Struthio camelus: one gene and its partner. The protein of the gene in region 1 interacts with the protein of each later gene in a pairwise test. Links are inferred from orthologs where the notes say so. Each region holds a gene or a part of one and is shown on either strand. Other genes may lie near its edges.

Region 1 (11,054 bases):
GAAAGCAAGACAAATCTTGCACGAGAATTCAAGTGAAGCCTTAGTGGCTGATAAATCTCTCTGATTTTAACTCTGTTAAACTTTAATGTCAATGTAGGTTGCAAACTGATTTATTCTGATTTATTCTATCACTCCTTAGAAAAAACTTTCAAGTCCAGAAGATCCCTAAGCCTAACACACCAACACAATTTGGCTGAAGGCTGCTAAACTAGATCCAGCCATCTGCATGCAACAGCTTTAAGCCACTAGTTGGAGTTACTGCACGATGTTGTTCACTGCATCAGCAAAAAACACTTCATATCTGCAACTGTTGTCACTGTCATGGATAATAAAGTGCAGCACAGCACCAGGCAAGCAGAGGGGGGCAGTCGCACCTCAAACTGTCAGCATCACAGCTGGGAGGCAAGAGTCACAGTCATTCACTGGAAACTTCCAATGTTCCTTTAACGCAGAGGTTTGGGCTATTAATTGTATGAATACTTTACTTTCTTACAAGGTTTTGTGTCGTATCTGTATCATAGGCCTTACTTTCTCTATAGCATGCCTGTGTCTTTCCAGAAATTTGAAAATCTGCTAAACTTTCCTTTTCACAGCAACTTCCAAAGTGTTGCAGATCTGAAGCGAGCTATTTCAAAATTGATTCTTACCTCATTTATCTTTTAAAAGCAACTTGGGGTACTTCATTACGGTAAAACATATGAGAGTTCTTTTCACATGCATTTGTTTCTGCACTTGCAGCTCTGGGTTGCCAAGGTATTATTTATTAATTAGAGCATAAGGATTACAAATTGCAACAAATAACCTTGCTTAACCCTATTAACGTGTTACTGCTAGCACCTCAAAATTGCAAAATTTCTGTATGTTTGTATGTTTCTGAATTCCTGTGCTATAGCTGGTAAAACCTTATTTGCCAAAATTCAGTCTGTATGAGTCAGTGCTGCCTTCACATCACATTCTGGCCTGTCTGGAAATCGACTTTCTATATGGTTATATAGATGTTCTATAAATCTTAAAATAAATTCAGTGTGGTTGGCCAAAGGAGCCTTTGCTACTCTTTGAACAAGTGCAGTCTAGCTTTCCCTCCCCTACAAAATAGTATTTGTCCTTGGCGGGGAACAGAGTTGGGACATGATTTTTTGTTTATTTTATACAGATTAACTAGCAGAAAATCCTGCAAACTAATACAGTAGCTTGTAACGTTTGTTTTTTTAAGTACTGTGTGGGTTTCTGGTTCAGAATTCAAAAGAGGATCTCTAAAAATACTATTTTTGACGTAGTATGTATTTGTGCCTTGTATACCTTTTTGATAACTATTACTCAGAATGAACATCAGAAATACACCACTCCTATTGTGTTAGGTATAGAAAGTATATATTAACTTGTCCGTTTGTTTATCCCATTGGGTTGCATGCTTCCAGGTTTAAATAAAGGCCTAGGCTAAAGAAAGTATCATACATTTGCTCAGAAGGAAGAAAGTGTTTAAACCATTTTGGTGTAAAAACGAGCCTCGCAGCAGCATTAAGTGACAGCTCATTGCTTTCTGTATTAGCTGAGGAGAAAAGGAGGAGGCTCAAAAAAAAAAATGTTAGCATGAATGGTAACATTGATTCGAATAAAGGGGCCAGAGCAGTCATTCATCAGGCAGGTGTGGCTGGTGAATATGTTTTAAATAGCTGGGACAACAAGCTGGACTCTCCAGTTTAGGAAATGCTTCCCATTACCAAGCAAAATTTAACAAGAGACCACAAGTGGAACCTGTGCAGAGCAGCGTGCTGCAATTTTTGCTTTTTGACCATTCAGAAATCGTTGTCACTTTATTTAACATTCCCTGATCCCTAATCAGTCGCCATTCACAGAATGTGGCTTATTCTTGGCAGTAATTGGTTTCTGGTGTTCAAAATTTATGCTCTTTGCTTAATTTCCAATGTTTTAACCATGTGCTTGAAGAGACATATCTGTCAGCAAGCTTGGGCACTACCTGGTCAGAGGGCTCGGACTGGAAGAACAAAGCATTGGGTTTTGGTATGTCTTTCAGCAGCACAGCAGAGAAAATAAGCGATATTTTCAAGTAAACTGAAAGCAGGGAAAAAGTCATGCCTACTGCTCAGTTCAGACCGAGCAACTTTATCCATGATCTCTTTTGCTACCAGTGGAGATCTTCCCTTATTACTCTACAGATTGCAAAGCTGCTTGTACCTGGGAACTGATGATAGAATACAGATAATGATTAGAAAGTAAAGCATTAGAATAAAAATTGGAGTTGTTTTAGTATTTGTAGTTTATCTAGCTTCAGAATTTGTGGTAGGTTTTTGCTTCTGTATGTGGCTTTAGGCTCAGATGTTACAAGGGAAGAATAGCAAATGGTAACATAGTAATACTAAACGTCGAGGTATTGCTTATAGCAAACCCTACTTCTCCTTTTCTGCTTCTCCTACATGTTTCATCTAATGGTCTCTTCTCAGTATTTGCTATGCTGTAACCCTATGTATTTGCTATGCTGTAACCTGTTCCCTATGTGTGGAACAGGTCTCTATGCTATCATACCACTGGTTTCTTCTCCTTTCAGCTGTCTTTCCTATTACTCATCAGTTATTATTAAGTAATTTCCCTGACCCTAATGGCTTTCTGTCACAAACAAATTCATTCCAGCAGTTTTAAGTTGCGTTGTCACTGTCTACTCCTTGCCAGAAAGGTATTAACTCCCACCAGAAAGGGCTTTTCTTTCACCTACTACTTGACATCAGCCCCCAACACTGCATGTTGAAGCCTGCAAAAAGAACGCTCTCCCCAAACTCTGAGATGCCCAAAGGCAGAGACTACAACAGTGCTTCTAGAAACTCCACCTTCACAAAAGTAGAGTGTTTTTCTTCTGAACATACTTTAAGCATTAGACAAACTCAGAATGAAAACAAATTCAATCTATCAAACCAGAGGACAGAATTCTTCATTTTAAAGAAATGGCAATGCACTTACTAAATTAAAAAAAAAAAAACCACCAAAAACCACAGAGTGGACATAATACTTTTTTTTGCCTCAACTATCTTCTCCATTTGGGGAATTAAGAGTTAGTTCAGATTCACTCAAAGGATACATTTTGCTAACACTAGACTTTGGATGTCTACATGCTCCAACTACAAGGAAGAATGATTGACTGCATGCGAATGTGTCTTCACAGCGGCCTGAGTCCTGTTTGTCTTCCTGCTAATTAATCTTACAGATATTTACTGTTCTAATACTACAGATTAGCTCTGCTTATTTTTCTAGAATAAGATCACATAAAGCTTTTACATGCTAATTCCTCACACACGGTTTTCTCCTTGGGGAGTCAGCTGAACTGTGCTTGCTTTCTGACTTCTCCTTCCCAGGCAACGTGGCTCATGTTATTACAGCTTTTCACGGCTTAAATTTGCTATCATGGGAGGTATTAGGCAACATCTGCAGTTATCTCAAAATGAGCTACATTGCTACTTTTCTATAAGCATCTTACATAACAGTAATAACATGGGTATGTCCTCCCACTATCTGTTACGTTTACATAATCAAGTATCCTGATGCCCTTTATACACTTCCTGCTTTGTGCAGTCTGTCACCTAAAAGCAATTGTTAGGCAGCATGTTTGATTGTTGGTTTTTACTGAGTTTAATAACTTATCTTTAGATGGCAGCATGTTTTAGACAGGAGTAGAGAAACAATTTGCGATGTTTTTCAACATAGTACGAGGAATCTCATTACCCATACTGAAGAAGGCTTTTACTTCTTCTTTCATATAGACAGATTATCAAATGTGAGAAACATATGAGAAAACTCTGTTGGCTTTATTTAGCATTACCTGGTATGGGGGAGGGGGACGTTTAACAATAAGAACATAAAACACATAACCAGTAGATGTTAAGTTACAAAAATTGCACTTAGCGTACCAATGTAAGGCGGAATTCAACCCTGAAGATGTAACAGCTTTGAGATACCTCCCTTGCGCTTCTGCTGAAATTTGCAGCAGAGGTAACAGAGGCAGAAAAGCAGGTACCATTAGCAAGTATAGGTCTTATTCTAGCCCGTCCATAGGCTTAAGTAGTTGCAGACCTGTATATAAAATTAAAATCAACTAAACATACATTAAAAATACCCCCCCTACACCATTCACCTTCCCTTGTGATCATGCGTGCAAAAAGTACACCCTACCACATCCTGAGCACCTGGCTCTAAGGTACAGCTTTCCAACTCTCCTCCCTCTGGTTTTATGCATGACTCTTTGGCCAGTGGAACAAATGTCACACAGTACAACGACCCAAATCCATCCCTTTAGCGGGACTAGGCAGTAGCATTAATTATAGGGAAAAAAAACTGTAAGAAGTCATCTAGTTCAATGTTCTGTTTCAAGGCAGGATCAACAAAATTTACATAATTCCTCACAGTTCTTCGTCTAACCTGTTCTTAACGACTTTTGATGACAGATGTTCTACCACCCTTCCCAATACTTAACTATTGTAATTGCTAACCTGATCTTTTTCTTCCTATGAGAAGAAACATGCTTATCAAGTTTATAGTTATCTCCTTCCTCTCTGCAACAGGTTTTTGTGCATCTGGAGACTGTTATATTCAATGTAAGCATTTATCTTAGACCCAAAGCAGGTTGTAGGTGTTGCCTACACAAAAAAGTCACATTTAGAACTATGCAATATCACTATAACATGTAGTAAATTGATTAAAGGCTGCTTATTAATAGACATTAGAAAGTAATTTAAATGAAAAATTGTCATATGAGAGACTTTTTAAATTGGGCTCCAAAGGAATCTGTTCTTGACCCAGTGCTACTCCATTATCTCAGTCAATCAACTGTTTGGCAAAAAGTAAAACACTGCTCATAAAATTTGCAGATCATTTCAGAACAGCTGAAGGCCTAGACGACGGTATAGACTGGTCACCACCGAATGACTTAAATCACATAGTAAGCAAGAGTCACTTGAACAACATATGTTTTAATCCATCTCAATGGCATATATCTTGAGGCATCAAAGACTAGGTTGCTGACTGCGTATAGGAGCCAAAATGCAGAGCATACTTTCAGGCTGGGAGCAAGGAAGGCAGATACTGTATTTTGGAAAGCATTAAGTCAGAAGAGAACTGAGGAGGTCATGAGGGTAAGCAAATGAATGCAAGCTGTCCATGCAATGTGGCAGCTATAACAGCAAATGCAAACATTGGATGTCTAAGCAAAAATATTGAAGAACAGCATGCGCTGCTATGGCCATTATATAGCACAATAAGGAGACTATTCTGGAATCAAGATTAGTTATAAAAGGTGTAACAAATTGGAAAGGTTAAGGACCTAGAAAAATGAGTCTAGAAAAATCTGTTCTGTATTTGAGGGTGATACGTAATTACCTACACAGAAAAAAATAGAGCAGAAAGACACTGTAATCTTTCATATATAGCGCGATCCAGTCATTGAAAAAGCTCTGGAAATGTTTATATAAGAGTACAAGTAATTAATAAAAATCAATGATAAATATATTGCTTAAACAGTTTATGATAATATTGCTTAAACAGTTTTCCAATAACAAACGTACTTCAATTTTTAATGGTTAAAAGCTAAGTCATTTTTTCCCCCCGAGTCTCCTTTTTATAGAATTCCTTAACTCATTTTTTGACAAAATAAACTCGTGAAACCCTAAATATTGCAGTGTGCTGAGCAGTGCCTGATGCTAGCGGAGGTCAGTTCCTCGTGCCTGCCTCATCCTCACCGGCATCGGGGCCCGGCAGCACACGCTTCCCATCCGAGAGCGACGCCCGGCGCTCCCCAGGCCCCTGCGGTAGCTCTCCAGGGGAGGGAGATCACTGCCCAGTGTGCAAAAAGAAGCTGTAATAATTGAGATAGGACTGCGATCTTTAAGAGATCGTTACCAATGTTTAAGAGAAACAGCTAGAAAACCGAAGGAAAAATCATTTGCGGCGAAAAAGGGGTAACGGTTGTGCCAGAAGTTGCAATCAACCGCGAGAAAGACTTCGGTAAGGACGCGGTAAATTTATTTCAACTCGAGGCTTTCAATGGCAGCTGGTTCTACGCCAAAAATGGTGCTGCCCAGCCGGCAACGCCGTCAGGCGCTTCCCGCAAGAGTCGCTGAGCGGCACGGCCGCCCCTGTGCTGCGAAGGCAGACCGGGCGACGTCCGCAGTTGCCCCCTCGGCGCCTCTGGAGCCCCGAGGGGCTGTGAGGGCGCGCGGCTCAGAGCCAGGCGCCGGCGCCCCGCCAGCCCCCGCCCGCCGCCCACCAACCGCTCCAGCCCCGTCACGGCTGGCCGCCGGCGCTGGGGGGCAGGGCAGGGGGCGACGCCCCACGGCCAGGGCCCGCAAGCCGGGGTGCCCTCGGGCCGCGCCTGGCCGGCCCCGGCCCCCCTCCCCTTCCCCCGCCCCGCCGGCCGCCTTCTTGCCCGGGCGGCCCCCGCCTCCGCCGCCATGTTGTGGGGCTGACGCTGCCGCCGCAGGAGGCGGAGGAGGGAAGACGGCGCGGAGCAGGCGCTCGCGGGCGGCGCAACAGGTAGCAGCGGCCGGGGCTGTAACGCGGCGGCGGGAGCGGGGCCCCGAGCCGGCGGGCTGCGGCGGAGCGCGGCGAGGCGAGGACGGGCGTGAGGGGGGCGGCCGGGCTCGGCCGCTCCCGCCGCCGCCGCCGCCGCCGCGGCGCTGTCAGCCCGGCCGCCCGCGGGAGCGGAGGGGCCGGGGCCGGGGCCGGGCAGCGCCGCTCCGCCTCGTCGCCCGACCAAACCGTCCGGGCAGAGCAGGGCGGCGGGGGCGTAGAGGAAGGGTCTGTTGGACCGAGCTGAATTTATTTTTCCCCTTTAAACACCTTTTTTTTTTTTTTTTAAACCTTGCATTTAAAAATAGCGTTTTGCGTATGTTTTGCTCCCGCCGCTGATTTTTTTTTTTTTTTTAATTTTTTCGCCCGAGCGTGAGGCGAGGCCGCCGTGGGGCGGCGCGGGAGCTGTCGGGCCGGGCCGGGCCGCCCGGTGCCGCTGCGGGACCCCGCAGACGTGCGGGGGGCGGAGGGGAAAGAGGCAACGCGAGCAGAACCGAAAACAGCGACTGTAGCTCCCAGCGCTGGCGTTAATTCTGCTGGTCTTAGTGTTGTTAGTAGCGACGAAAAAAAGAAAAATCCCGTGTCGGGACCCAAACAGCTTGGTGCCTACCCGAGGGAGCGGGCTGGGGTTGGGTAAGTGGGGCAGGCTGATGAAGCCAGCTGAAGGGGTAGCTGGCTCGCTAGTCTCATGATTTCCTTTCTGATAGTTGCTGTGAAAACCTGGAGACTGTAGGCATTAAAAGCTGGTGACGGTCAGCTTCTGTAGTTAAAGCCCGCGACTTGTTCTGTTGGTGGATTGCCTTTCCTTCGTCTTGACTTTACACCAGGAAACGTAATAATTCAGGAAATAAAATGGAGCCGCGAAGTACAACCAAGTCCTCTACGCGTAACTATAATAAGTAGTATTTTAATTACATGAATATGATTTTCATAGCGGGTGGCACTCTTGACACCTGTCACGTTGCCGAACTTGAAAGTCGATTGTGCTTTAAGTAGTACATACAATCTTTTAACCTTTGCTCGCGTAAGTCGTGTTACGCCTAAGTCAGAAATTCCTCATCTAAAACACCGGAATGAGAAGTTACAAGCCGCTCGCCCCTACCTTCGGGCAGCTGGATCCCACGCATCTCTTTGGGAAGCTAGCGCTTTAAAGTTGTTTCGTTCGTGCTTGCCTGGGGTGGCAGCAGTTCCTGCATTTGTGTATACACAGGAAAACATAGGAAGCTTATTAAGCAGTGTGCATAGCCTGCTTCGCCACGGTGCGTATAGCATTAGTGGTTCATAAAATGGATTTTGCTTTAGAGAGTTTTAGATGAGCGTTTTTCTGAAATTCAGTTGAAACGTAACTGTAGCTGTAATAAGATCTGGATCCGCTGATGTGACAGTGATATTTAGAAATTACGAGCGTTAGGAATTGACTAGGTAACTGGCTGGGGCTTCATTCTTGCATTAAACCTTATTCATTTTCTTTCTCATCCCTCCACTTTACCATCCCTGTTTATTTTTTCCATTCCTTTTATTTTAAGTTGGGAGGGAAGGGTTCACTGTCTTACTTATAGAGCTTGAAGATCCATATGAAGTTAAGAGAGAAATGGATCCCTGTAAACATGGATTTACATTGCCCAGTGCTCTCAGATATATAGCAGTTTTGGTCAAATTAGCCTCCTAACTCAGATATCTAAATTAGATCAAGTGACTATGCTCTCCCTTTTAATTACTATTTCGGAAGGGTTAATTTTTTTTCCCCTCTATCTATAGAAGATCTAGGGTATGGGATGTATCCCTGACTGCGTTCTCAGTTGCTACTGTAATATAAAGAACGTTTTATAAGGCTAACAATGGCAAAAGCACGGTAGCTACTGTTCTTTGTGCTTATCACCGTATGGTGCTACCTGTCATAGGAGGTGTTATGCTAGCAGTGAATTATGGCCTGTGTGTGTTTGTTTTTTTCCCTCGTTGTTACAGACCAACTGGGATGGATCAAGGCGGAAGTGAGCTGTTAATGACTTCAAACTGTGTTGTTGAGGAGGCTTTATATATTGACTTTCAGGTATTAGAGTGATAGAGACTATGGAGGCTTATTCACAAATATTTATGTTGTGGTCTTTAATATTAAAAAGTGAATTAACTTCATCTTTGACAGCTGCTACCTGACTACGAAATAAAGTTAAAATCTGTATGCTGTTGTAACTATTCATTCAGCTACTTATGTGGAGCTGATGGGGGGAAAATGGGACAGGGTTTGAAAAATGAAAGCTAACGTAGGTGCTTTACCCGAGGCATTGTTAAAAAGCTTCCTAATCCTTGAAAACAGGTATCTATCAGGAAAGGACCATGTGATTAATTACTGAAAAGCATGGTAGTTGGATCACTAGATCCTGTTGCAAATTCAGACAGAAGTCTTTGGTCTGAGAGATGACCTGTTATTTACAGGTGAAGCCTCTCTCTCACCTTAAAAGATTTAGTTGAATCAGTTTGTATAACTGGGGGTGGGGGGAAAAACATTCCATCTGACTTCCTTTGGAAGTCCTGAATTCTTCCCTTTGTTTTTTATGTGTTTTATTTTTTTGAACTGGCTCAAAAGTTGGATATATTCGTTTTTAATGTTCATTTCTGGCCTATTTTCACTTGAAATATCTCAAATTTCTCAGTTTTAAAAATAACTTTTAACTGCTTCCATTTGCTTTCATTTGCCTAAAATGTAGTCATAGGATAATTTAGCTTGGAAGGGACCTCTGGAGATCATCCAGTTCACGCCGCACTCGAAGCAGGGCAATCCGCTTGCTTGACGCCATGTCGAGTCAGGTTTGGAAGACCTCCGCGGGTGGAGATCCCACAGCCTCTCTGTGCAGCCTGCTCCAGTGTTTAACCCACTGCCAATGTGTCAACCTCTCTTCTGAGTTTGACATTCTCCAAACTTGCTGTGGGTGCACGTTGTCCCCTTGTCTTCGCTGACAGTCTGGACGTTACGCGGTATTTATTGGCCATCGTATCAACTTCTAAGGAGTAATATTAGTAAGAGGCTGCTAGATGGTTTTCGCACTACTGGTTGCAGCCCTTTAAATCCAGTGGTTGAGCCGGTTTTCCACCTAATTTACAGTCCAGCTATTCAAGCCATATCTTATCATTTTGGCTCTATGGATACTATGGGAGGCCTTGCTGAGAGCCTTCCTAAAGTCAGCACCCATGGTTTTCCCCTCATCCAAAGAGCTCGTAATCACAGAAAGCTGTCAGGTGGCTCACGTCTGGTTTATCCTGGGTAAATGCCTGCTGGCTCTTCCCAGTCACCTTCCTGTTCTTTGAGCATCTGTACATGGCTCCCAGCAGCATTTGATCCATAATCTTTCCAGGGCTTAGCAGCCTTTTGTGTCTCCACGTTGTCCCTCTTGCCCTTCCTGAAAATTTGATCTTTGCCTTTTTCCGGTCATCGGGATCCCCAATCACCGTGACTTTTCCGAAGTCATAGAGAGCAGTCTTGCAATGACATCAGCTCTCAGCAGCACTGGTCCTGTGCTTTGTTCTGCATGTATTCCACTGCTATACTTGTTTTCAGGTTACCTTATTTTGACTTCTGAAGGCTGTTTTCAGTTCAGTGTAATACCACAAACTCTTGGCAAGGTCTTAGATGTTGGGTCGTGCCACATTTCTAAGCTTTTGAGGGAAGTTTGATGAACAGTCCTTTTGTGAAAATTCTGAGAGCGGAAGGTTGCTGAATTTATGAACTTGTGTTGTTGCTTTTAGATGGGAGCACTCATTTCGTGTGGCTAAATGATACGGGAAAGTCTGCCCTTTCTTCCCCTTTCTCTTCATGTTAGGTAATCAGAGGTGATTGTAAAGATAACAAAGGTAATGGAGAGTTAGTTAAGGAATTGCTCTTAATGCACTTAGATGCATTTTAAACACTATCACTTGTCAGTACTGTATTCTTTTCAGCTTCAAAAACACATTATTGTCATTTAACTTCACATCTTTGAAAATCAGATTTTCTTTTTGTGCCCTGGTCGACGATAGATGATGCAACAGATGATTTGCAGGGCAAACACTGTTGTTAGATTGCAAGCAATGAATACCTAGTCAGATTTTCAGAGTGCTTTAAGCAGCTGTCTTAAGTGATCTTCAAATTCTCAAATGCTTAGTTGCAAATGTAGATGCCTAAATACCTCTGGAAATCTGTTTTTCAGTGCTTGTCAGTGCAGAACTGTGAGGCTCGTCTCTGACTGTAAGTTGAGTTTCTTCTGAACAACGGGCCAACGCGAGTTGAATTTCTAAACCAGCCGTGAGCGGTGCCAGTTGTGAAGCTTTGTTTCCTGTGGCTGTTTGCATGTAGTCAGAGGCAAGCTGTAGTTGAAGTTTTTTCTCATGGCTGGTATGTTCAGAACAGCTTTGAGTCACGTGGATGCTCTGGGGTCTGATGTTTATAGGCTAACTTTGGTGGCGTCTTCTCTGCCTGGCTGCCCGTTTTCTTGAATCTTGCAAATAGTCAG
Region 2 (10,632 bases), on another chromosome or scaffold:
ACCCCTATAGCACCCACCTAAGGGGGTACAGGCCCTATAGCACCCACCCCGGGGCAGTGTGGGGCACATAGCTGCCACCTAGAGGGGTGTGGGGCCTATAGCCTCTGCAGGGGAGCTCTAGTGCCCATGGGAGGGAGGTGTTTCTCCTATACAGCCCAGGGGGTCTCTCCCCTATAGAGCTTGGGGGGGTCCATCCCCCCTATGGGGCCCACAGGGTTCTTCCACCCATAAGGCCTGAGGGTCACAGCCCCTATGGGGTGACGTACGTTGAAGCCGCTGTTGGGGTCCCATCCGATGTGACCCACGTGCCTGGTGGGGGGTGGTGATATGAGGGGTTGCCCCATAGCAGGAGGGCTGGACCCATGGCCGAGCCCTGCCCCATATGTACCCTGCCCCTCACGTCCCCCCCAGCCCCACACGTCCCCCTGCCCCACACATCTCCCCACCCCACACATCCCCCCAGCCCCACACATCCCAGACCTACTTGAAGCCGGAGGGTGCCCCGATGTCAGCCTTGGAGATCTTCTTGCGACCCCGCTTGCGGTCAGTGGCTGTGGGGCCTGCTGTGGGGCCCGCTGTGGGGCCAGCCGTGGGGCTGGGCAGCCCCCGGTAGCGGCTCGCCGTGATGTCGGGGTTGGCAATGGGCACAGCCGGCACTGGGGGGGCTGCGGGGGCATGTGTGTGGGGCGGGGGCCGCTATGGGGCTTGGCGGCCACTATGGGGCAGGGGGACTCCCTTTGGGGCAGTAGAGACTGGCTATGGTGCAGGGGAACCCACTATGGGGCAGAGGGGACCCTGCTAGGGGGCTAGAACACTGCTATGAGGCAGGGACTGTGCTATGGGGCAGGCAAACCCACTATAGGGTAGGAGAGACCCCACTATGGGGCAGGAACCACTTGCTATGGGGCATCAAGGATCCCCTTATAGGGCAGGGACATTCCATTATGGGGCAGGGACCCCGCTGTGGGGCAGCGGAGCCCCTGCTATGGGGCAGTCACTCACCACAGCCATCCCCGGCAGATGCAGGGGGCCGGGGCAGACTCCCGCGGCGCTCTGTGATGGGGGGCAGAGGAGGTCAGCGCCCCACGGCTGCCCCACAACATCCCCCCCATGGCCACCCCACGGCTCCTCCTTCCCCGTGGCTCTTTGCCCCACGGCGCCCCCTCCACAGCCCCGCAAAGCCTCCCGGGATAGGGGGGGGAACTCACCATCAGCCGTGGGGGGTGGTGGGGGTGGGAGCTGTCGCTTCTCTGTGGAGGGAAAGGGGCTAATGTGGGGCTGCCCCATGGCGTGGCGGGCACCAGGGCAGCCCTGGTGCATAGTGGGTCACTGTAGGGCAACCACAGTGTATCGTGGGTGGCTGTGGGGCAGCCCCAGTGCACTGTGGGTTGCCATAGGGCAGCCCTAGTGTGTATTGTGGGCTGTTGGAGGTGGCCATGAGGCAGCCCTGGTGCCTCGTGGACTGCTGTGGGGCAGCCCCGGTGCAGTGTGGGTGGCCCTGGGGCTGCCACGGGGCAGCGTGGGTGGCCATGGGGCAGCCCTGGCACAGGGGGGGTGGCTGTGGGGCAGCCCCAGTGCCTCATAGGCCACTGTGGGGCAGCTCCGGTGCAGTGTGAGTGGCCCTGGGGCTGCCGTGGGGCAGCGTGAGTGGTCATGGGGAAGCTGTGGGGCACCGTGGGTGGCCATGGGGCAGGGCCGTGGGGCAGCTCACCCGCCCGCTGTTGCTGCTTCCAGACCTTCTCCTCCACCAGGGCCTGGAACGCTGCCGCCTCCCCCTCGTGGGCGAAGTTCAGCCCCGCCTGCCAGCCCTGCGCAGCCAATCACCGCCTGGCCCCGCCCCAGCCCCGCCCCAGCCCCAGCCCACCCCAGACCCTCCACCTCACCCACACTCCCTTAGCCCTGCCCCATCCATCAGCCCCATCTCAGGCCCCTTTAGCCCCACCCACTGCCTTCTAAGCCCTGCCCCCAGTCTCTTAACCCCACCCTTGGCCCCACCCACAATGCTGAAGCCCTGCCCCAGCACAGAGTCCCGCCCTCGGCCCCGCCCCCAGAGCCAGAGCCCCGCCCTCAGGCCGGATGCCCCGCCCCAACCCCCACCTCTAGCCCCACCCCAACCCCCACCTGTAGCCACACCCCAGCTTGTAGCCCCGCCCCCATCCAGTTGGCTCCACCCTACCCTGCCCCAAGCAGCCGAAGCCCCGCCCCCGCCCCTGGCCCCGCCTACTCACGTCAGCAGGGAAGGTGTGGAAGAAGGGGGTGGGGGCAGCATAGCCCATGTGGGCCCGGAGCTCCTGCTCCCAGCACAGGCACCCGCCCTGCGCGCCCAGACACCTGGGTCCCTTGGCCACCTCCACCCAGCCCGTGGGGACTCCCGTCCCCCCCCGCCCGGACGCCTGGGTCCTCATGGCTCCCCCGCCCGGACACCTGGGTCCCCATAGCTCCCCCATCTGGACGCCTGGGTCCCCGTGGCTCCTTCACCCCAACGCCTGGGTCCCCGTGGCTCCCCCATCCAGACACCTCGGTCCCCATAGCTCCCCTGCCCGGATGCCTGGGTCCCCTGGCCACCTCCCACCCAGCCCATGGGGTCTCCCGCCACCCCTGCCTGGACACCTGGGTCCCCTTGGCTCCCCCACCCCAACGCCTGGGTCCCTTGGCCATCTCCCACCCAGCCCGTGGTGGTCCATCCCCTGGGCTCCCCCGCCCAGACGCCTGGGTCCCTTGGCCACCTCTTACCCAGCCCGTGGGGGTCTCCCGCCCCCCCACCTGGATGCCAGGGCCCCCAGCTCACCCGCAGGTCGTAGAGGCGGATGAAGTAGGAGCGCCGGGGGCTGTCCTTGACCAGGCAGGCGACGCCGCAGCCCCGCTTGGTCCACGCCGCCCCCCCCGGCCCCCGCGCCTCCAGCAGCTGCACCACCGCCGTCGCCAGCGTCTGCCGCAGCCGCCCCTATAGCGCCTATAGCACCCCTGGGGGGGGGCAGGGCGCTGGGGGGGCCCTGCGGTGCTGGGGGAGGTATGGGGCTGGGGAGTCCCTGTAGGGCTGGGGGCTCATTGGGGTCTGCAGCACCTGGGGGGCCCCTATAGCACCTAGGGATCCCCTATAGCACCCAGGGGGCCCTATAGCAACTTGGGCACCCGAAGGGCTCCTATAGCACCCGGGGGGACCCCATAGCAACTTGGGCATGTATAGCACCAAGGGGCCCCTATGGCCCCTAAAGATACCCTATAGCACCTGAGAGGCTCCTATAGCACCCAGGAGCTGCTCTAAAGCATGTGTGGGGGCCCTATAGCACCTGGGGCCTCTACAGGGACTAGGTGGGTGGCTCTAGTGCCTGGGGGGAGCTCCTATAGCACTCAAGGGGGTTCCTACAGGTTCTTAGGATGTTGCAAACACCCCCTTGACCCCCTTGGGATTCCAAATCCCCCTCAGGACTGCCCAGATCCACCCAAATATCCCCCAGACCCTTTAGAGCCCCCCAGGACCCCCCAAATCCCCCCATCCCCCATATCCCTCCCAAATCCCTCCCAGGACTCCCTATATCCCCTCCAGATCCCCCCCTAGACCCCTTAGGCCCCTCCCAGGACCCCCCCAGCCCAAGGGCCCCCCATATTCCCCCTATACCCTCCCAGAGCCCTTAGGGCCCCCCCAGACCCCCAAATCCCCCCCTAAGACCCTCCAGATCCCCCCAGAACCCTTAGGGCCTTTGCAGGGACCCCCAAATCCCCCCAAGTCCCCCACAGCCCCCCCCAGGACCCCCTAGATCCCCCCCAGAGCCCTTAGGGTTCCTGCAGGGCCCCCCAAATCCCCCCCAGGACCCCCAGATCTGCCCCGGCCCCTCACCACACATTTCCGGCCCAGGAGCTCAAAGAGCCGCAGGTTTTCCTGCTGCTGCAGCAGCTCCGAGGGGACGTTGTCGGGCCCCGGTGGCCCCCCCCGGCCCCCCCGGCTCATCGCCCCAGTCACCTGGGCCCCTTCCCCACTCCCCCGCCGGCTCCGGCCCCGCTTATGGGCCCCGGATGCCTGGGCCCCCTTCCTGGAGGAGGCTGGGGGGGAAACACCTCCCCGAGCCGGATGCCTGTGTCCCCTGCAGAGGTGGGGAGCCCTCGGCCCGGACGCCTGGGTCCCGCGCGGAGGCCTCTTCCGTGTAGCGGGCCCGGAAGCGCGCGTCACCTCCGGACTGGGGGCGACTGGGGTGAACTGGGAGGGCACTGGGGTGAACTGGGAGGGACTGGGAGCAGCCAAAGGCCGCGGCCCCCCCTCCTCCCCCCTGGCTGGGGGCCCAGGCATCCGGGCGCCTTGGCTTCCCCTCCCCCCTCAGGGGAGTCCCAACTCTGTCCTAGACCGTACTGGGACCATCCCAGTCTGTAGTGGAACCCCAGGCCCTTCCCAGTCCATGCCACGACCCACCAGTACATACTGCAGGCCCAGTATAGGCTGGGACCCCCCCCCAATCCCCTTCCCAGTCCATACTGGGAGCTCTCTAGCTCCTTCCCAGTATGGATTGGGACCCCCAGACCCTTCCCAGTATGGATTTGGATCCCTCATTGTCATTCCAGTCCATTCTGGGAGCCTCCCAGCCCCTTCCCCGTCCATACTAGGAGCCCTATCCCCTCCCCAGTCCATACTGGGACTCCCCCAGCCCCTTCCCAGTACGGATTGGGATCCCCAGCTCCTTCCCAATCGATATAAGCACCTGTAATCCCTCCCCAGTATGGAATGGGACCCACCCAGCCCATCCCCAGTCCATACTGGGAGCCTCCAAACGACAAACATGGGCGTCAGGTTTATTTGCGTCTTCTGCACCTCGCAGCACCCCGGACGCCTGGGCCCCTCCCAGTAGGATGGAGGGCGGGGGGGGGGCAATAAATAAAGGGGGGACATAGGAAGGCACCGGGTGGGGAGGGCACTGGGCTGTACTGGTCCATACTGGCAGGACCCAAGGCTGTGTGGGTGAAGAGGTCCCAGTGGGGGTGCCCTACCGGTCCGTACTGGTCCATACTGGGAGACGCAAGGCCACGTGGGTGAGGAGCTCCCAGTTGAGATGCCATACTGGTCCATACTGGTCCGTACTGGGATGGCCCAAGGCCAGGTGGGTGAAGAGATTCCAGCTCTGCCGCTGTACTGGTCTGGACTGGGACGGCGCAAGGCCACGCAGGTGAGGAATCCCGATGAGGATGCTGTACTGGTCCATGCTGGTCCGAACTGGTCCAACCCAAGGCCATGGAGATGCAGGAGCTCCCAGTTGGGCCCCCAGACCTACGCTGGTTCATACTGGTCCACGCCGGGACGCTCCGAGGCGACGTAGAGAAATGGCAGGGGAGGCAGTGGGCTGTACTGGGCCGTACTGGGGCTGCTGCGATGTCCCTGGCTCCCCGTAGCAGGCGTCTACAGGTCCCCAGTAGGTGCCTACAGTCCCCATGGGGGCCTATGGGTCCCCAGGGGGGATCTATGGGTCCCTGAGGGGTGCCTACAGGTCCTTATGGTGGTCTATGGGTCCTCAGGGCATCCCCATGGGTATCTCTGGGTCCCTGAGAAGTGTCAAGGGGATCCCTATGCCAACCTATACATTCCCAGGCGTGTCTATGGGTCCCTGAGGGGTACCTAGGGGATTCCTACATTGGTCCATGGGCCTCCAAGGGGGACCTACAGATCCCCAAAGGAGAGCTATAGGTACCCATGGGTGCCTACAAGGTCCCTATGTTGGTCTACGGCTGCCAAGGGGGATCTATAGGGTCCCCAGGATTTTCTACAGGTCCCTAAGGGAGTCTATGGGTCCCCAAAAGGGATCTATGGGTCCCCATGCATGCCTTCAGAATAGCTATGTTGATCTAGGGGTCCCCAAGGAAGATCTATAGGTCCCCCCAGGCATCTATGGGGTCCATATGCTGGTCTATGGGTCTCCTCGGGGGCTCTATAGGGTCCATGGGACATCGATAGCCCCCCATGGGCGTCTCCAGGTCTCTCAGCCGGTCTCAGGGCCCACTTGGGGGCTCCATAGGGTCCCCAGGGATCTCTACACCGCTCCATAGGCATCTCTGGGGTCCCTAAGCTGCTCTGTGGGCCACCTCAGGGGCTTTATAGGGTCCCCAGAGGCATCTATACACCCCCACGGACATCTCTGCGTCCCTCAGCTGGTCTCGGGGCCCCCTTGGGGGCTCCATAGGTGCCCCCAGCTCCCCCCACACCCCTCTCGGCCAGGCGCGGCAGCAGGGGGCAGGCGTCAGGGCTCAGCAGGGTCGCTGTCACCCGCGCCGGGGCCGCCACGCCCCCCCCAGCCCTCGAGGTAGCGGGCGAAGAGGGCCTTGGCGCGGTGCAGCACCCGGGGCAGGTCGTGGCGGCGCACCAGGCGGTCAAAGTGCATGGCCACCTCATTGTAGTCGCTGGCCCGTGCCATGACGGCCTCACGCTGCTCCAGCAGCATGGCCAGGCACACAAAGAGCAGGAAGGGGTTGCCCTGGCCCAGCTCCTCCGGCGGTGGCAGCGGCGCCCCGTCGTCCTCCACACCCACCTCGTCCTCCGACGAGGAGGAGGAGGAGCAGGAGGAGGAGGAGGAAGAGGAGGAGGAGGAATCTTCCCAAGCCCACGGGCCGGCCCAGGGGTCATCATCAGCTTCACCAACCTCGGGGAGGGTGGCAGCGTCTGCTTCAGCGTCTTCGGGGACGTCAGGGTCTTGGCCAACCTTCTGGGGGCTGCGGAGCTCTTGGCCAATCTCCTTGAAGGCACCTGGGTCTTGGCCAACTTTCTTGAAGACGCTGGGTTCTTGACCAACCTCCTTGAGGATGCTGAGATCTTGGCCAACCTCCTGCGGCACGTTGAGATCTTGGCGAACTTCCTCGAACGCGTTGAGGTTTTGCCCAATCTCTTTGGTGACACCAAAGTCTTGACCAACCTCCTTATAGATGTCGGGTTCTGGGCCAACCTTGGGAACGTTGAGACCTTGGCTGAGCTTCTGGGGGACATCGCAGTCTTGTTCAGCCTCCTTGAAGATGCTGAGATCTTGGTCAACCTCCTTGGGGGTGTTGGGGTCTTGGCCAACCTCCTTGGGGATGTCAGGGTCTTCATCAGCCTTTTTGGGGACACCGGGTCCCCCTCTGGCCTCCCTGGAGGCCTTGGGATCCTCTGGGATGTCCCGGGAGACATGGAGATCCTCTGTGACACCTCGGTTGGTCTCGGGATTATCTGGGACCTCCGACTTCGCTCCACCATCCTGGGAGATCTCAGGACTACCTGGCGCACCTTGGGAAACCTTCAGATCCTCCTGGATGTTTGTGGAAACCTTAGCAGCATCTTGGACGTCACTGATCTTGGGATCTTCTTGGGCGTTTGTGGGGATATTTGGATCCTCCTGGACATCTCTGGAGACCTTTGGATCCTCTTGGAGGTTTCCGCAGCTTTTTGGAGCCTCTAGGACATCCCCGAGGCCACTCAGCCCCTCAGCGTCGTCTCCAGGCTCCTTCTCAGCTCCTCTTGCGCCCAGCGTAGCCGCCTCCTGGGCCCTGCACTGGCGCCGGTGCCGTCGGGGGGGCCGGGGCCGGAGCCCGCGGCGCTCGCGGAGCCCACAGCGAGCCCGCCGGGGGCCCAGGGGGGCACCAAGGAGCGGCACACCGTCGGCAGGGGGCGGCGGGGCAGGTGGGAGCGAGCTCCAGGTGATCTCCAGCACCCGCAGAGCGTCCTCGAAGGCGAACTCCCGCTTGAGCTCCAGTAGCAGCCAGCGGTAGCAGAAGAGGAGGTCGTGGGCGCCGCGGGCGGCCAGGAAGGCCCAGAACGGCGGGTCGGCGCGCCGCAGCAGCCGCCGCAGGTGCCCAAAAGCCCGGGCCAGGCCCCGGCCGCCAGGGCGGAAGCGGGGAGCCAGGCGGCGCATGAGGGCGCAGAAGCAGATGAAGGCCTGGGCCTCGTCATCAAGAACGGCTAACAGTGGGGCAGCCACATCTGACATACCCTGGCAGTAGGACAAGCGCGGGTGGCCCAGGGCGAAGGTGGTGAGCAAGGCCTGGAGGGCGGCCAGGTGCGGGTGCCCCTCTTCAGGCCCCCCGAAGTAGGGGTGGCCGCGGTCAGTGCGCACCACGTCCTTGCGCACAGCAGCCCCCACCAGCGCCAGCTCGCCAGGGGCCGCCTGGGCCGCCAGGCGGGCCTTGAGCGCCCCATACTCGGCTGCCTTGCGCCGCAGGTGGGCCAGGCGTTCCTGGCCCGAGAGCCCCGCCGGGAAGACATTGAGCAAGTAGCGCCACACCACCTGTGCGGGGATGAGGCCACGCCATTAGGGACCCTGGCATCCGGGCAGGAGGGGTGGGGGACGGTGGCGGGGCAAGACATACCTTGCGCAGGCCGGGCTCGACTCCCCCGTGGTAGACGTGCAGGCGGAGGTCGCGGGGCCGGGCCAGGCGCCCACCGGGGCCCAGGTAGCTGCGCAGGTCAGCATCACTCAGCGGGGCCCGCGGCGGTGGCGGAGGCGACGCCGGTGGCGGTGGGGAGCCCTCAGGCCAGGCCAGTGCCGCCTGCGCCCGCGCCAGTGTCCGGCCCACCTGTGTGGGGGGCGGCAGGTGAGCCAGGAGCACGGGGAGGCGTTGGGGGGGGACTAGGAGCACTGGGAGGTGTTGAGGGGGAACTAGGAGGAGTCTAGGAAGCATTGGAAGGTGTTGGGCAGGGAGTGGGAGCGCTGGAAAGTGTCAAGGGGCACTGGGAAGTGTCTGGGAAGGGACTGGGGGCACTGGAAGGTGTCAAAGGAGCACTGGGAGGTGTTGGAGCAGAACTGGGAACACTTGGAAACACCTGGGAGGGGACTGGGGACACTGGGAAGCATCTGGGAAGGGACTGGGGACTCTGGGAAGTGTCGAGGGGCACTAGGAGCACTAGAAGGAGGAGAGAGGGGGAGATCTGGGAGGTGTCTGGGAAGGGACTGGAGGCACTGGAGGCCATGGGGGGTGTTGGAGCAGAATTAGGAACACTGGGAGGTGTCTGGGAGAGAACTGGAGGCATTGAGAAGCGTCGGAGGGGCACTGGGAGGTGTTGGGGGGGAGCCCAGGAGCGCTGGGAGACCCTGGGGAGGGGAACTGGGAGCTCTGGGAGGGCCTGGGGAGGGGAACTGGGAGCCCTGGGAGGCCCTGCACCCACCTGTGCCAGCAGGGCCTGGGTGAAGGGCAGGGCAGCGGCCAGCAGCGAGCGGCGCTCGGGCCCGGGGGGCTCGGCCCCCGCCGCCTCCCGCGGGCTGATGATGTCCCAGTCCTCCAGCAGCGGGCCTGCGGGCCCGGACGCCTGGGTCCCTCCTGCTCCGCCACTCCTGCAACCCTGCCCCCCACGGGTCCCTGGACGCCTGGGTCCCCACCATGCCACTCGAGAGCCCCCATGACAACCCCCAGGCCGCTCGGACACCTGGGTCTCCTCTACGCTGCTCGAGAGCCCACCCTGGGCACCCAGACACCCGGGCCCCTGATGTGCCACCCCCAGGACACCTGGGTCCCCCCACCCTCTCCAAGACGCCTGGGTCCCCTTCTGGTCCTGGGATCAGGGGCTCTCCCCAGACACCTGGGTCCCCCCAGCCAGTACCCAAGGAGAAAATGCAGCTCCTCCCGGACTCTGGGGCCCCCTGACAGATGGGGCTGGGGCTCTCCCAGACACCTGGGTCCCTGGGTGATGAGGGTGGGGGCTCTCCCAGACCCCTGGGTCCCCCCACCCACTCCCTAAGGGGAAGATGTGGCTCTTCCCAGATGGCTGGGTCCCCCCACCCAGCCCTCAAAGGGGTCGCGTGGGTCCTCCCAGACACCAGGACCCTCTGGCCAGCAGGGCGGGGCTCTGCCAAATGCTGGGGCCTGCCGGCCAGGCGGCACTCACTGTCGTCGGGTGGGCGCACGTCAAGGCGCAGGCGCAGGGCAGGCTTGGCGGCTGAGGCGAAGGCAGCCGCCAGGTCGCTGTCACTGGCCAGCGGCGTGAAGCTCTCGTGGCCCCGGCGGTCGCGGGCCGCGAAGCTCACGGCGAAGCTCTTCTTCCTGTGTGCCATGAGAGGCCCAGGAGTCTGGGGGTGTGCCCTTCCCCCACCACTTACAACCCCCCTCCCTCGTGGGGCTTCCCCTCCATGCACCCCAGTGGACCCAGACATCCGGGCCAAGCACCTCCCTCCCACCCCCCTCATGGAGACCCATCCCCGACTGTGCCCAGCGGATCCAGGTGTCCAGGCCAACACCCCTCCCCCCCACGGGGACTTCCTCTGTGTACCTAGTGGACTTAAGCATCCAGGGAATCGACCCCCTCCCCCACACAAGGAAGGTGGGGGGACGGAGATGCCTGGGGGGAGGGGAGGGGCCCCGGTGCTCACCCCTGCAGGTCGAAGGCACGCGCCAGAATGTGCTGCAGCACGTCCAGCGACGTGATCTGCGGGTCCACGGCGAAGGAGCGGAACTCGGGCGGCAGCAGCCCCTCGCTCTTCTGGTGGCAGCGTCAGGGACCCAGGCGTCCGGGGCCGGGCGGGGGGGTCTCCCCCCCCCCCAGCAGACCCAGGCGTCCAGCCCTCACGCTCATCCCCCGGCGCAACGACATGGCGCCCCACCTCAGCGCGTCGCTACGGCAACAGCCTAACGGCACCCTGCCGTTTCCCACCCTCGCGCCTCATTGGGCACCGCCGCCCACGTGGCCTCCTCTCA

Evidence for each region. The genes of interacting proteins can lie anywhere in the genome.
Region 2: the proteins of ITSN2 (region 1) and WAS interact in a two-hybrid assay, tested with the Homo sapiens proteins (2 studies listed by BioGRID). The link is inferred for Struthio camelus from reciprocal best matches to the Homo sapiens genes ITSN2 and WAS.

What each region holds. Positions count from the first base shown.
Region 1 is NC_090944.1:15,521,949-15,533,002, forward strand, and holds the start of ITSN2 (intersectin-2), read left to right. Parts: upstream 1-6,409; 5' UTR 6,410-6,534; intron 6,535-7,182; exon of another isoform or gene 7,183-7,203; intron 7,204-11,054.
Region 2 is NC_090979.1:340,334-350,965, reverse strand, and holds the start of WAS (actin nucleation-promoting factor WAS), read right to left. Parts: upstream 4,202-10,632; 5' UTR 3,950-4,201; coding exon 3,839-3,949; intron 2,930-3,838; coding exon 2,789-2,929; intron 2,316-2,788; coding exon 2,229-2,315; intron 1,809-2,228; coding exon 1,712-1,808; intron 1,251-1,711; coding exon 1,209-1,250; intron 1,054-1,208; coding exon 1,003-1,053; intron 666-1,002; coding exon 485-665; intron 310-484; coding exon 267-309; intron 1-266. Other genes in the region: TBC1D25 (TBC1 domain family member 25), read right to left, coding at 6,219-8,231, 8,314-8,520, 9,110-9,234, 9,827-9,981, 10,308-10,417. UniProt on the Homo sapiens protein: Effector protein for Rho-type GTPases that regulates actin filament reorganization via its interaction with the Arp2/3 complex. Important for efficient actin polymerization. Possible regulator of lymphocyte and platelet function.